Linked DNA regions of Alligator mississippiensis. The protein of the gene in region 1 purifies or fractionates together with the protein of each later gene. This does not show direct contact. Links are inferred from orthologs where the notes say so. Each region holds a gene or a part of one and is shown on either strand. Other genes may lie near its edges.

The links. The genes of interacting proteins can lie anywhere in the genome.
Region 2: the proteins of MCRIP2 (region 1) and ATXN2 purify together in Homo sapiens (co-immunoprecipitation; 3 studies listed by BioGRID and IntAct, with this or other methods). This does not show direct contact. The link is inferred for Alligator mississippiensis from reciprocal best matches to the Homo sapiens genes MCRIP2 and ATXN2.

Annotation. Positions count from the first base shown.
Region 1 is NC_081836.1:27,208,668-27,215,851, reverse strand, and holds the start of MCRIP2 (MAPK regulated corepressor interacting protein 2), read right to left. Parts: upstream 3,077-7,184; 5' UTR 2,993-3,076; coding exon 2,938-2,992; intron 2,857-2,937; coding exon 2,781-2,856; intron 1-2,780.
Region 2 is NC_081833.1:3,641,547-3,648,664, reverse strand, and holds the start of ATXN2 (ataxin-2), read left to right. Parts: upstream 1-4,076; 5' UTR 4,077-4,167; coding exon 4,168-4,346; intron 4,347-7,118. UniProt on the Homo sapiens protein: Involved in EGFR trafficking, acting as negative regulator of endocytic EGFR internalization at the plasma membrane.

The DNA of each region.
Region 1 (7,184 bases):
CATTAAGGTAATCAGCCCCAGTTTATAGAGGAGATATAATTTTTGCTCAGGGTAGTTACACTTCTGTTTCTAGTTTTAAACTCTGCTCAATCCTTCCAGCCTTTTCAGTGAAGAGCTGAAGAACACTCTGACCCATGTTTTATTCAAGGAGGCCTCCACAAAAGCCAGGTAGTTGCAAACAGATCTGCCTGATGTTTCTGAAGAAATATTAAGAACTTTCAGGCTTTTGTTTTTACACCATAAAGAGGAGAAAATAAAAAGGGCACAAATGCAGAATCTTTTGGGAGCAGCCTGTCACAGTGAAATGCTGGGGCCTATTTAAAGAAGCTCCAAGGGAAATAGGTGATATCCAAGACAACCCCTCTGCACCAGGGAAAATGGAAGCTAGGTGGGTGTATCTGACAGATGAAATTGAGAACTAATCAATTGTTGATAACAAGAATCCTGTCAAACTGATCAAGGATTTGCCTCTGCCTGCAGGATGGCAGCCAACAGAAGATGTTCATATGTCAAACACATGTTTCTGGTGTGACAAGGGTAGTGGAAGGCTGAGTTCACCAGTTCTATGGTGCCTTTCAAAGTTCTTGAATGAAGAGGTCTGTAGGAGCACAAAGGATTATTACAGCCCTTTCCATCAATGCCAGTGGGCTTGGGATTAGACCCTAAAGGGAAAATTATGTAGCCAACCCTTAGACAGGCCTCTGTAGCCTTAACACCTGTTGATTTCAGTGGCTGTCAAGAGCATTTGACACTGCCAAGGAGGGGCACAGCAGCTTGTAGAGAGGGACCCTCATTATTATAGGTGGGCTCAACATCTGCTGTAGCTCAGACTGTCATCCCATTTTTGCAGGCTGCAGAGAGAAAGAAAAATCCAACCTGAAGAACAATCAGAGCTAAAACAGTTACCTAGATTATATCAGTGAATGACAGTGAAAGAATAGAAACACATAGACCAGTTGCTCCCAAACTCTGCTTGGAGAACCACTGGTAGCTTGTGGAAGGATGGCTGATCATAATAGCGCCTCTTCCCTGTTTGCAGCCACTACATACCATTAAAAAGACCACTATATCTATGTGTGTTCTCCAAGTTTACATGTTTAAAAAAAAAAAAAAGTATTTGCCATAGGGATGTTCTGAAGTTGCAAATAAGGAGATAGAGAAGAAAGTAGATGGTCATGAGCAGAATTTCCTCCAGATGTTTCATCTAGGAAGTCATGTCCCACACCAGGGAAATGTTTGTAAGCTCCTTGAAGACGTCACATCGCAGGGGACAGCAGGTGTCCTAGCTTGTATATCCACCCATGGAAGTGTAGCTTGTCCCACAAAATCTGATTAGCAGAGGAACAGACTTCATTGCAAGACTATAGATTAGTATATAGCATGTATGGGGGAGAAGGAGGATGTGCAGAGGATAAACTGCATATGCAGGATGTAACAAAGTTATCTGGATTATACAAACTAGAAGAGTCAGATCCAGTAACCAGAAATCTACCTTTAATTGGGAGGTTCTCTCTGAGCAACTTCTACAGTAACCTTAACGGATAGCTACGTGTCAATTCGGCTTTATCCCACAGCAGAACCACTGTAAAAGTGGAATACTGCATGCTTTTGACCACTTGCTGTTTGAGAAGTGTGAACCTGTACTCAGACAGCTGTACAGTTACACAGGTTTCCAGTAGGCCAGAGGTAAACCTGTGGGTGCAGCACTGATGTTGCAATTTCCTGACTTCCAAGCACTTAGCTCCTACAGTTTTCTCATTGTATTCTCACCCTGTGGAATAGAGTGCTGTGATATAGGGACAAAAGCTGCAGATACTGGGAGGAAAAAGGTCCTGGTGGACGAGTCTCAGGGATGCCAAGTGCTCCAGGTGCAGTGAGGTCAGAGGGAAATAAGAGCACTTTAGTCCCACTTTGCACTGCTCACAGCAGGCAACTTCCTAGATGAAAGGTATGTACATTCGCCTGCCTGAGACCACGTGGGTGAGCATCCCAGGTATGGAGGAGGGAGCAGAGCTGGAGTTCACAGTTTGACCTTGTCCTGCAGGGAGTCAGCTCCCCACAGCTGCACCCTTGTGCCCTCGCAGACCCCGGCCCCCTGGAAGCTTCACAACCATCTGACTGCAGATCTGGGCAGCCGAGCATCTCGGGCTACAAGGGCGGCCCAGAGCTGGCACCCAAGTCTAGGCACAGGAGCGGAGATGGGGCTGGGGCCTGGCAGGACTGCTGTTACCTCAATTCCCTTTACTTCCCACGCTCAAGAGCTGCACCTGCTGCCTGCCCACCACCTCCTGCGCCTGCAGCCTTCCCTGCCCCCTGGCACGGGCTGGCAGCCGGCGCGGGGCAGCGGGCGGCGGAGGTGCGGGGCTCCCCGCGGCCCCGGTGCCCGCCGCGAGGCCGAGGGGCGCGGGCGCAGCCTGGCCCGGGCCGCTCTTATCTCCAGAGCCCAGGCGAGGCCCAGGCCTTATCTGCCGGGCGGCCGGCGCGGGGGCGCCCGCGGGGCTGCGGCTCAGGGCCCCTGCCCGTGGTGGGGGCGGGGCCCGGCTCAGCCCGGGACGGGCCAGGGCCAGGGCCAGGGCCGCCCCGCCGCGCGGGTTCGGGCAGCGCACGTGGGAGCGCCCGGCCGGGGCCACGTGCCCGGCCTCACCCCCTCCGCGGGCGGGTCCCCGGGGCAGAGGGCGCCGCGGTGCCCCGGGTCACCGCCCGCAGCCCCCGCGCGGGGCCGCGGCAAGGACGAGCCGTCACCTCTGCACAAGGTCAGTCCCGCCCCCGCCCGCACTCACCTCGGCGGCGGCCACGCGCCCGGCGGCCGGCATCGCGCGTCGCCCAGCTTGCTGCCGTCCACCTGCTGCGGGGGCCCTGCGGACACGGCCGGGTCAGCGCTGCCGTCCGCGCCCCGTCCGGCCCCGGACCACCCCCTCCCGTCCCGGCCGCGCTCACCTGCCCGGCGCTGCGTGGCCAGGCGGCTCGGGCCCCGCGTGAGCGTGTACATCATGTGCGCGGGGACGGAGACGGGGGGTCCGCCGCTCCGCTCCCCTGCGCAGCGCCCGGCCCGGCCCCGCCTGTCGCGGCCGCCCCGAGACGCCGGCACCGCCGCCCCAGCCGCAGCCCGACCCGACCCCGAGCCGGCGGCGGTAGCAGTGCGGCCCCTTTAAGAGGCCGAGGGGCGCGGCGACCGGGACACGCCCCCGCCCTTAAAGGCGCCGTGTCCGCTCGGAGGAGCCGGCGGGGTCTGTGCTGCGGTCGTGGCGCCACGTGCGCAGCGCGGGACGGTCTTTTATAAGTTGTTTATGCGTTTACCAGGCGTGATCGTTGTTGTTCGAGGAAGGCGTGTCTTCGCGTGTTATGACGGACCTTGTCGTGTGTTTACGTTTTTACGTGTATTAATAAGAAAACGAGAACAGCCCCACGCGCGAGCCGCGGGCGTCCGGGCCCAGGATGCTGGCAGGCGTGAGCCCCCCGCACGACGAGCCAGGCGCAGGGCAGGCGGCAGCTCCGCGGTCCCCCGGGCGGGCGGTGTCCGGGCCGGAGCCGGGACGCGGCGCGGCGCGGAGGGGCGGCAGGACGTGCCAGGCAGGCCCCCGCGCCTCCCCGCAGGGCAGCTCCGTGCTCTGGACAGCGCAGTCATCCCCGACCGCCCGCTGCCGCCCGCTACGTCTAAACTCCTTGCGCAAGACGATGCCGCCGCCCGCCTCACGGACAGCGGCGTGGTCTGGCCCGTGCTCCCGCCACCCCAGCTGCAGGAAGGAGGAGCCACTTTGCAACCTCTCTGGGCTGTTGCAGCTGCTGAATCCTAGATAAACCCGCCGAGAGCCCTTCTGCACTAAAGGTCGGACAGGCAACAGCCCTTCCAACGGCCGGCTGGGACCAGGGGAAATGCTTGAGGGCCAGGAGTAAAAGCGCTGAGGGGTATGCGTACCCCATGGCCTCCCTAAGCCCATAGGCACGTGATGGGGCAGGGGTGGGCGAGCCCTCTTGGTTCTTTAGCAGTTTTCAACTCTCAGGAAGTAAGGGGACGCTGCTTTCATCAGCTGTGAATCTGGGAAGCACCACAGGCTAGCACATAAAGACAAGAGTCTGCCTCCAGACCCTGATACTGCAAGTGACTCCATATGGACAAGTCCTTGCATCACACCAGGCCTTGCTTTATCTGCTTGCATAACCAGGTGTAATAATTCCTGTCTCCTGAGGGTGTTGCAAAGCTTAATTTGTTAATGTTTGCAAAGTGCTTGGCAATCAGAAAAGCAAAATATCATCATCTGACGGAACTCATTTTACCGGAGCGGCACTGAAAGAATCCAAGATGCAATCACTACCTTCCACTGCTTTTGTTTTGTTTCTGCTTTTAGGCAATTGGTCTGCACAGACTTAAGCTGACAGGCAGCTAAATATTTGGTCATCATTTGGTACACATCAGTAGATGCTTACTGAAACCCAGGGGCTCTGCTGACATATCAGCTAAAGATCAGACTGTCTATATTGTAGACGGAGCTCACTATTTTATGATGCTTTCAGCTATTTCAGTTGCTCTTAATGAATGTTACCCAGCAGCGCTTTCAAACTTCCTGACAAAATCATCACGTGACCAGTGGAGTGTGATCAAAGCAAGGAGGGGAACGGAATACAAATCCAGGCCAGTGATTCAGTTTCTCACTGAAATAAACTGAAGAGCTTCTCAAACCAGGATTAAATTTAGCTTCTGTGAGTACATCTACCCAAGACATTTACTGGGGAGTAGACTAATTAGCTCTGCAGTACACATCTCAGCATCTACACGTTTGGCCTTATTAGGCTGCAGGAAACTAACAAGCTTCACAGCTGGTTAGTACTTATAAATACAAGTATTATCCTGTTGTGGAGTTTTTTCATGTATAACAGTGCATGTGCGGATGCTGACCCAGGTGGTTGGGGCATGAGACTGCTTCAGTCCAGAGGTAGCCTGCCAGTTAGCCCTGTACTGGAGCACCCTTATGCCCCTGCCAGCCCTTCTGCAGCACATCGAGCTGGGTCAGAGCAGTGCCAGGCCATAGGCCCCTTGCCAGCTGGGACCGCTCCAACTTGGCTCAATGTGCTGAGGTCCTGAGCACTTGTATAAACAGTCACTCAGGAGCAATAAAATCTGCCGGGATATGCATTAATATACATGTGTAGATGTGTCCAATACGTAGCAACTCCGGATAGATGGATGCATACAAAGATGGTAGCCCTCATCTTTCAAACACACCCAGGTTAGCTAGGCACTGGTGGCAGAGATTGTAGGTAAGCTAGTGATCAGCAGGGATCCTGGTTTTCTCTGATTTAAAAAAATTCCCAATTTTCGGTTAAAAAAAAAAGTAATCCCAAATCCACATTTTTCCATGATTTAAATGAAATGTCACTAATATATAGGTATGTATATAGTGGGGTTTCATTTTGATCATGGAAAAATGTGGATTTGTGGTTACTTTTTTTAAACTGAAAATTGGGGATTTTTTTTAATCAGAGAAAACCAGGATCCCTGGTGATCAGTAGGTAAGGTGCTTGGCTGATTGCAGAGGGTAGTTAGCAAGAGAGGGTCCCATTGACACCCAGATAAAATAATCCCCATAAAAGAAAAACCTCCATGTCATTCACCAGACACTTCCTTTGTGGGGAAGACAGATGGGAGTAGGTATGGGGGGAAGTTTCTGTGGATCCCATCAGTTCCGTATGGATCATGGGGAATCGGTATAAGACATGTTGCCCCCTGGATCCTGCTGGTCCCTGGAGAGCATTGTCGATGCACCAGCTGTGCTTCTAGAAGCAAGCTCAATCATGGCTGCCCCAGAGCCCTATTAAAGTGGTACCACATAATTGCTTTTCAGCCTTTTGGCTAAAATCAAGTGTGACAGGGGCACCTGAACTTCCAGTCCTAGGACTGCATGTAGGATGCCAGTCTGGATATAGGGAACATCTGAACTCCGAGGCCTGCAGGCCTAGGACGTTAGATACTGGCCTGGTTGAAGTTATATTGGCAATGGATACCAGTAGGCACAGTTATTGAGCTTTTCTCAGTTGGATTTGGAATTTAATTGGCTATTGGAAATAAATAAATAAATATATATGGAAATATATGTATGTATACATAAGGTGGTGCCCCATAGCACAGAATGAGAAACAGTATAAGTAAATAGCCTAAGGTGAATTTCTGTCCTTGGCCCCAGCTCACTCTACAGAGTCTCCCATGGAGCCAGAATTTAGGAGCAAAGCGTGCAGGGTCATGGTGCGAAGGTGAGCATCATCTCCCTCCACACCTGGCTCTGGAGGGATGCATGCAGTCTCAGGCAAAGACATATTTTGGGAGCAAATTGAGCTCCATTGCCACTCGCATTCAAACACACCTTGTTCAGACTCCGTTATCTCTGAGGGGGCAACAAATTTAACTTCTCCAGGCCCTGTGACACCCACTGGAAAATCAAAGGCACTAACTGGCTCCAGCTGACTGAAGGGTTCCCCTGTACAAAGGCCATGTGTTTCATCATATACCAAGAGAGAACTGTGTCTGCTTGCATGCATGAGCTGTTGCATGAGAAAGGGGCCCCTTCTAGATCCGGTCCTATTTGAGCTGACAGTGGTCTTGGGTAATTTCACTGCTCAAAATCACGGTCTTGTTCTATTGCATTGACATAACTGACTTGGATTTGTGTCTCATCTTAAAGGCTGAGTCTATTTTACTCCAGACTATGCCCAGGAATAGGGGGGTGAGGAACAGATCAGCTCCCCCTTTACACAGATCACTTCTAATCTCCCTGCATGAAGGAAGTAAAAGGCATTTGAAACAGAAGAAAGGAAATTGTTTTTCATACTGTGCATACTTAAGTGTGGAACTCACTGCCACAAGGTACCTGGAGAACAAGAGAATTCACAGCAGAACATCCCCTGTTATATTAGATTAAAAAATTACAAGGGCTGTTACCTCTCAAGCATCGGAGATTGGGGCAAACTCTGGCTGATGAGAGTGAGGAAGAAAATGGTGCAGTTAGTTTGTAGTTTTCTACCCTGGGATTTCTCCTTGAAGTATCTGCTGCTGATCAGTGCCAGGAACAGAGGGAGGGGAGCCATCAGTGTGATTGCAGAGAAGCTCAGCTTGGCTTAGCAGAGAACTCTTCAGTGAGCTTAAACACAAAAAGGAAGCTTAAAAGAAGTGGAAGCTTGGACAGTTGACTAGG
Region 2 (7,118 bases), on another chromosome or scaffold:
GTGAGAAATTATTTGGTGTCTCTAAAGATCTGAGGATTTTAGCTGTTGGATTTTTAAATAGACACATGCAGAATGGGCAAGGGTTTGTTTCTGCTTCACAGTCGCCTTGTCACTGAGAACTATCCTTAAAATCCTGAGCAAGACAATGATACCCAAAATTGTTCATCTCTTGAAAATGTATCTGATCATGATCATATATGTTAGAGCTGCTCATGCCCCTGTAATTTCTTGTTGATAGTCATCAATTCTGAATGAAAACTGATTTTAAAGTAGCTTTAAAAAGAATGGTCTAACCTAGGACTCGAATATCAGGGCCTGCGAATGCATGATTTGCTCTTGAGGATAAATCATTGTGTTCTTCAACAGCTGCTTAACTTGGCAGAATAAGACTAGCATAGTCTTGAACTCCTCTCCCCACAGCTAGATTGCTACGGTACCTGGTAGATGTGTTGTAGCTGACTTAAAGTATCCTTGGGTACTTAAAGACGCTGCCGTACAGAGGTTTTTAAAGCCACCTAGAGACCAGCGTCTTGACTAATCAGAAAGATTTCAGTAGTGCATAGCACAAAAGCAAATCCAATAGCTATCAAGCGAGTCAGCCTAGCAGCAAGGGAACACTTTTCCAGCGGTACAAGGATTATAATGGGGAGAAATATATATATATATTTTTTTTCTTTTTTTTTTTTCCTCCAATGCGCAGATATATAATATGCATGCATGGAGAAAAGAAAATCAAAATAAATGAAACTTGTAGCCTGCTCCAAAACTCCAGGTTCTCAAACTGCATTTGGAGACCTCCCAGGTGATCCATTTTGCTGACTCTGAAGCATCACCAGTCTTCAAGCACTGGCACTAACTCTGTCCAGGTCTGAATTCAGCCATTAGAGTTTATGGAGGCTTTTTTTTTTTTTTTTTTTGGACTGAGCTCACTGGCCATCTCCTCTCCATTCTTGAGTCAGCATTTTTTTGGGGAAAAGCTCAGTTGTGATCAAACCAGGAGGAATCGCCAAAATGGGAAAGGTTTCTGTTGATTTAGTGCTCTTGCTACAAGCTGAAGTGTGATCAGAATTAAAGTATATTGGGGAGGAGATGAGCTACCATCAATTTGAAGCCCTGCATGGAGGTAGGGGAAGCTAACCTTCTAGGCAAGAGGGATGCAGAGAACATGACCAATATACCAAGTGATAGAAATTATCTGCAGTGAAGATGTAGGACTCCAGCAAGGTTTTCCCATCAAAAGCCTTGGAGTGGGGTCGCAACAGGACCACTGACCCTCTTAAAGGCACTCGCTACGGGATTTTGGTAGACTTCACATGGAAGGAGGATTCGCTTGTCTTCATAAACCCCCTTGTGGATGTTGTCACTGAGGGTAAGTTAATTTTAATGGCTTTGTTGATGGCAGTCACTTATTTCCTTTTTTAATCTATTGGTATATTTTGTATATATGTGTCTTTTAATATACATGTATTTTTATTTTTACTTGGTCTCCATGCACAGTACAGTAGGGCAGAGAAGCAAGGGTAATAGACAATGGAAAGCAAACACAGGGCGCAGCAGTGCAAAGAACCACGCTGAAAGGGAAAACCAGTCCAACCGCAATCACGCAGCACTTAATGAAGTGCTGACAAGAGACTTCATGTTTATTTGCAAAACTGCAGCTCAACTATTGAACGCTGCCCCAAAGCTGTTAAATAAAATGTATCCCCATGTTGGGGTGCTCAGATTGGATCTCCTGGCAGGAAATCTATCAGGATTTATACAGTAACCTGAAATTGTATGTGGTTAGAATAATCTAGCATGCAAAAACATGAGGTAAAATGGCTAGTATTGGATAATCCTCGTGTGCCAGATTCCATCCAAGTGCATCTGACCCTTTATTTATCTCGCGTGCCTCGACTTTAAAATGACACCAGTATACACACAAATTGGACAGTCTTTTCTAGCTCCAGCTAACTGGAAAGGTCCAGAACATGCCTGGTCAGGAACCTAAAAGTCCCTCGACTGCAATTTGTATTGTAGCGAGATGAGGCCTTAACGCTACAGTCCTGTACGTAAGGCAGGGCTGGACACAGGAATGGGTAAACCGGGGGCTGGACAGAAAGGGGATCCAAAAATGGTAATTTAAAAATTATTATTATTATAATATCATCTCTGGCAAAGGGGGGGGCCTGATACTAAAAGTCTGCCCGGGGCTGCCAGGAGCCTAGGTGCAGTGCTGCCTTCCGGCAGCGTCCTGAAGAGTTTAGCCAGCTGTAGGCCTACTTGTTTCTTTATTTAAAAGTGCATGGTTCGACTAACGTTCAAGAGGCTTTCTAATAGCAGGCAGCGGGTGGCTGTACGTAGCGTAGTGGGTGCAGACGGACCGAGTTCTTCCACAGAATTGTTTAATTTTGTGGTAAACGTTGCTAAAAAACCTTTGTCAGCGGTAACTTTATCTCCTTCCAAGCTGCACGAATGCTGTCCCTGGCTTTCGATTTTTGTGGCCAAGAAATGACTAGCTGGGCATAAAATGGACTAAAGGGGAGAATTCAAGTGGAGTTTCTTGAAACGTTGGCTCCGCACGCTGCGAGCGTTTCCAATTAAAGAATTCCTGCTCCGGTGTCCATTTCGGCTGGCATTTCCTGTCCTCCAGCCAGTAATGTGTCACCACATCATTATTCAGGCCTGCAAGGTAAAACAAAGCAAGAAACTTAGGAGCCAAATGTACGAGGTGGGGGGGGGGGGAGAAGCTAATTTTAAGAAGCTATTAAATGTTGGCGTGTTCCTTGCGTGCTACCACCCACAGCTCCCCTAACCCTACGGGAAAGCAACCGCTTTGCGAGCAAGGTGTATAAATAATGCCTGCCTCGTGGCATAATTCCTCTTTATTAGACTCGAATCCTGGGGGATCACGAGTCTCGACGAACGCCGCCGGACTTCTCGCGGGTTTGGCTATCCGTCCACTCGGCGGCAGTCCGGCAACTACACGAGCTCACGCTAATTACGGACGCTGACTCCTTAAAAATTATTTAAGCGGGACAGCCCCAATTTTTTTTCTCGTACGTATGAATTAGCCGCGCTCGGAGAGAACTAGTAACCAAAGTCAGTGCAACCAGTGCCACCAATGCATCCAGCCTGAGACCACGAGTTAAAAACGCCAGGCTTATCATCGGACGTAGCGAGGATGCTGACGACGATGATGATGATGTTTGTTTTGAGGTGAATTGGCCTGTCAGGCTCTACAGCAAGATTAAACACTGCTTAAAAATAATAGCCCTGGGGAACGTGAGCCCTGAAAGCTGGCGATCCAGGACGATAATCCCCGCTGAGCCGGTTTGGCTTTCAGCTGGAACCGGAGGTATTTGGTGACCGAGCGCCGCAGCCGGTGTCCGACACCAGAACCGGGACAAGCCCGCGCCCGTCCCCGCCAAGGGCTGCGAGGCGAGGCGAGGCGAGGCGGGCGAGTGATGGAGGCCGCTCTCCGGTGGCAAAAGGGGCAACTTTTGCCCCAGACGACGGGGCAGAGACGCGCGCTGATGTCCGAGGTGTTTGTGAGTGACTCGCGCCCCGGCCCCGGCCCCGAGGGGGAAGCCGGGCCCCGTGCTTCGTGCTTCACGGGTGGGTGGGCCGCGGGGAGCCTCGTGGGCCGCGTCCGGGCCCGTGCGTGCGCGGAGCCTGGCGCGCATGTGGGGGAGGCCTGTGCCTGAGGGGCGCGGCGCCGGGGGCGGCGTGCGGCCTAGCCGGGCCCAGCGGCTCCCCCGCGGGCGGGCGGGCAGCCGGGCCGGGCCAAGCCTCGCGGGAGCCCCCGGCTCCTCCCCGCGCCTCACGCGGCCGCCTCACCGCCCGGACCCTTCCGACTCGCCCCAAAGAGTCCGGCCGGCGCCCCCCGCCCGCCTGCCTCTCCCCCGGGCGGGCGCGCTGCCTGCCCCGCGAGCCCCTCGCTCGCTCGCTCGCTCGCTCCGTGGAGCCGGGCCGGGCGCGGGCGGGGCTGCGCTCGGCGAGGCGAGGCGAGGCGGGGCCGGGCCAGGCGGGCGGCCGCAGCGTGCCGCGTCCCCTCCCCCGCGGATCCCTCCGCCCCGCGCCGCCCGCCGCCCGCCCGCCCGCGAGCCCGCCCGCCTGGCCCCGGCTCCGGCTCCGAGTCGCGCTGTGGCAGCGAGCGGCCGAGGCGGCGGCAGGAGCGGCGCGGCCATGTCCCTCAAGCAGCAGCAGCAGCAGCAGGCGGCGGCGCAGGCCCCCGGCGGTGCCCGCAAACCCCCCGGCGGCGGCAGCGGCGGCGGTGGAAGCGGCGGCCCCGGCTCCGGCTCCGGCTCCGGCTCCGGCCTGCCGGCGGCGGCGACACCAGGCGGCGGGCGGCAGAGCGCGGGCAGGTGGGTGCGCTGCAGCGCGGCGGCGAGAGGCCATTTTCCCGGGCAGGGCCGGGCCGGGCCGGGCCGGGCCGGGCCTGCCTCGCCTCTGCCTCTGCCTCCGCCGGGGCCATGTTGCGAGCGGGGCGCCTCGGGCCCGGCCTAGGCCGCGCGGCCTCCCCCCGCGCCCCGCGCCGAGGTGAAGCTGAAGGACGGGCCGGGCAGCGCGGCGTCTCCCCGCCGCTCCTCTGCCGGCTTATCCCCCCCATAGCCGCGGGGGCTCCCGCAGCGGGGGCAGGCGTCGTCTCCCACCCCGCGCCGCAGCCCGGCCCCGGTGCTGGGGTTGCGGCCCCGCCGCCGCCGCGGAGGACGGGCACCTGCTCCTTTCACTTAGGGGCGGGCACGGCCCCTCCATCCGTGCTAGCCGGCCGGCCGGCCGGCTCCTGACGTTTCTGCGGCGATTCGGTGCGAGTATCTCGTGGGGTTGGGTTGGGTTGGGTTGGGGGCGTTCCCGCCTGGACCTATTTATTAGATGGTTCCCTTTTAAAAAGGGGCAAAATCCAGGTGCATGAGAAGTAGATGGTCCCTCCTTGACACCAGACACAACCCAGGTGCGTGAGGAGCAGATGGTCCCTCCTCGACGAGCAGGGCGGCGTTCGAAACGCTTCGCCGTGTTTCGGGGCGCGCGCCCGCGGGACGTGGTGCCGGTCTCTTCCCTGCGATGTAAGCGGCGCGAGGAACAAGCGCGCGGCCCCCGTGGCCAAACGTGACCGGCGGCGGGCGGCTAGTCCGCGTCCTCCTCATATCTTCAGCAGATCTTCGTACCCGGCGCGGTTTTATCGACGTGTAGGCAGGACGGGTGACCCGCGAACAGGCACCGTGCGAAGGGACGCGTGGTTATTTCTCCGCGTTTCTCCCAGCGGGTTTTTTTGGCGTTTGTTGACACGTTCCCCCTCCAGCTGGGACCTGTTTTGAGGTGCCTACAAGTAGAGCCGCTGGCGTGGCGCAAACTCCCCATTTTTAATCTTTTTTTGCTGTCGTAGTACTTGGGGTCGGGAGGAACCGAAACAGATCATCAGTCCGACCCCCTGTTTCTGGACTGTCTGTGTAACTGGGCCCAGTAGTCTTTATTAAAAAGGAAACGCGGTGAAAGTACTTGTAAAAATAAATGAATAAAATAATAATAATAGTTCTCACCAATAAAGAGAGAGAAGCTGAAACATATTCACAGATGTTAGATTTCACAGACGTTGGGGCTGGAAGAGGCCTTACAAGATCACCGGGTCCCAGTGAATTCGGGGTTTTCCAGCTTGCTTCTCGCGGTTCAGGCAGAGTCTCTGCATTTGCCCTTTCCGCGGCGAAAACTGGGTAGTCGATCTTGCTTTTCTCCAGTCTCCTGTAAAAGGAGAGCAAGATGGAAGATGGCTGTCCCACCTGGATGCAGCTGGTCAGGAGTATTGGGCATGACCTCTCCCAGGTCCTGCGGAGGAGATGGCCGCTTTAGAAATGAAACCCACTTGCGGAGAAAATCAGAAAGCTAAACCATCCCTTTATCCCGATGAGCCAATGTGCACAAGCGTGTGTGGGAAGCAACTTCCAGTGACCACTAGACTCCACCTTTGTTACAGTAACTACTTCACAAGACATCAAGGGAACTATTCATACTTCTGTTTTCATTTGAAACCCCCCATATGCTGCACATTGCATCAGTAGCTACTTCTCATAGTTTCACAGCTGTCAGGGGCTGGAAGGGACCTCGCAGATCATCGGGTCCAGCCCCTGCTCTAGGCAGGAAGACCACTGGGGTCAAGTGACCCCAGCGAGGTGGCTGGCCAGTCTCCACTTCCATAGATTTCATAGACATTAGGGCTGGAAGGGACCTTGGAAGATCTTCAAGTACAGCCCCCAGCCCCTTTAGGGAAGGGTAAGAAGGCCTTTGCTCAGAGGACCTGTTTAGTGAATTTTGTCCTACCCCTGATTTTAGTACCTTTCCCAATGTCACCCTTTCTCTGCCTCACTTCTTCCCGATCTCTAAGACCCGAATTATTTCCGTGCTTCCACTTCTCAAGGCTGCTTCAAGGTTTAACTCGATTTTTAAAGTATGGTGCATTCCTCTGAGAAGAAGAGAATTGCACATGTAAAAGAGTTAGCAGGGATACAGGGTCTCGGAGGCCCAAGTTAGTAATAAACCACAAATATGAAATGGCACAGAATTTTCTGAGTAGCCCCAAATTAAATTAAAGTAACAATGTTAAATTATCGGACAAATAAATGGGTAACTTGTAGGTCATTTTAAATAGCGACTAATGCTCATAGATAGTGATTAGTATGGTGTTGCTTGCATACTTTCTCGTAAGCTTTTTAATCAACAGCATGAGCCCCTGACCTGTAGTAATTATGAGGAAGGCGCGTCGATGCCTGTTATAGCAGCTGTCAGAGAATGTGTACTGTAAATCTGACCTGGTGTTCTCTCTTCTCCATATACATGGAAGGGGTGCTAAAAGAGGACTAGCTCTTGACATTATTAATGTATTTGTAGAAAGTCTAATGAAAAGCCTCTCCCTCTTTTTGAGGGGGGAGGCTTTAATTTTGCACCTGCAATATGTGTGTATTTTTATGAAGGCAGTCTCATTTTGTAAAATACTGAATTGAAATGATGTAGGTAGGCTTTCACAGAGGCTCTGAGTGGATGCAGGCCCCAACTGAGAACCTGAAAAAGTACAGTTGTCTAAGGTATTTATCAAACAAAAGAAACTGGTTTGCAGTTTCTGGGTGATTATTTTGCACAGAAAAGCC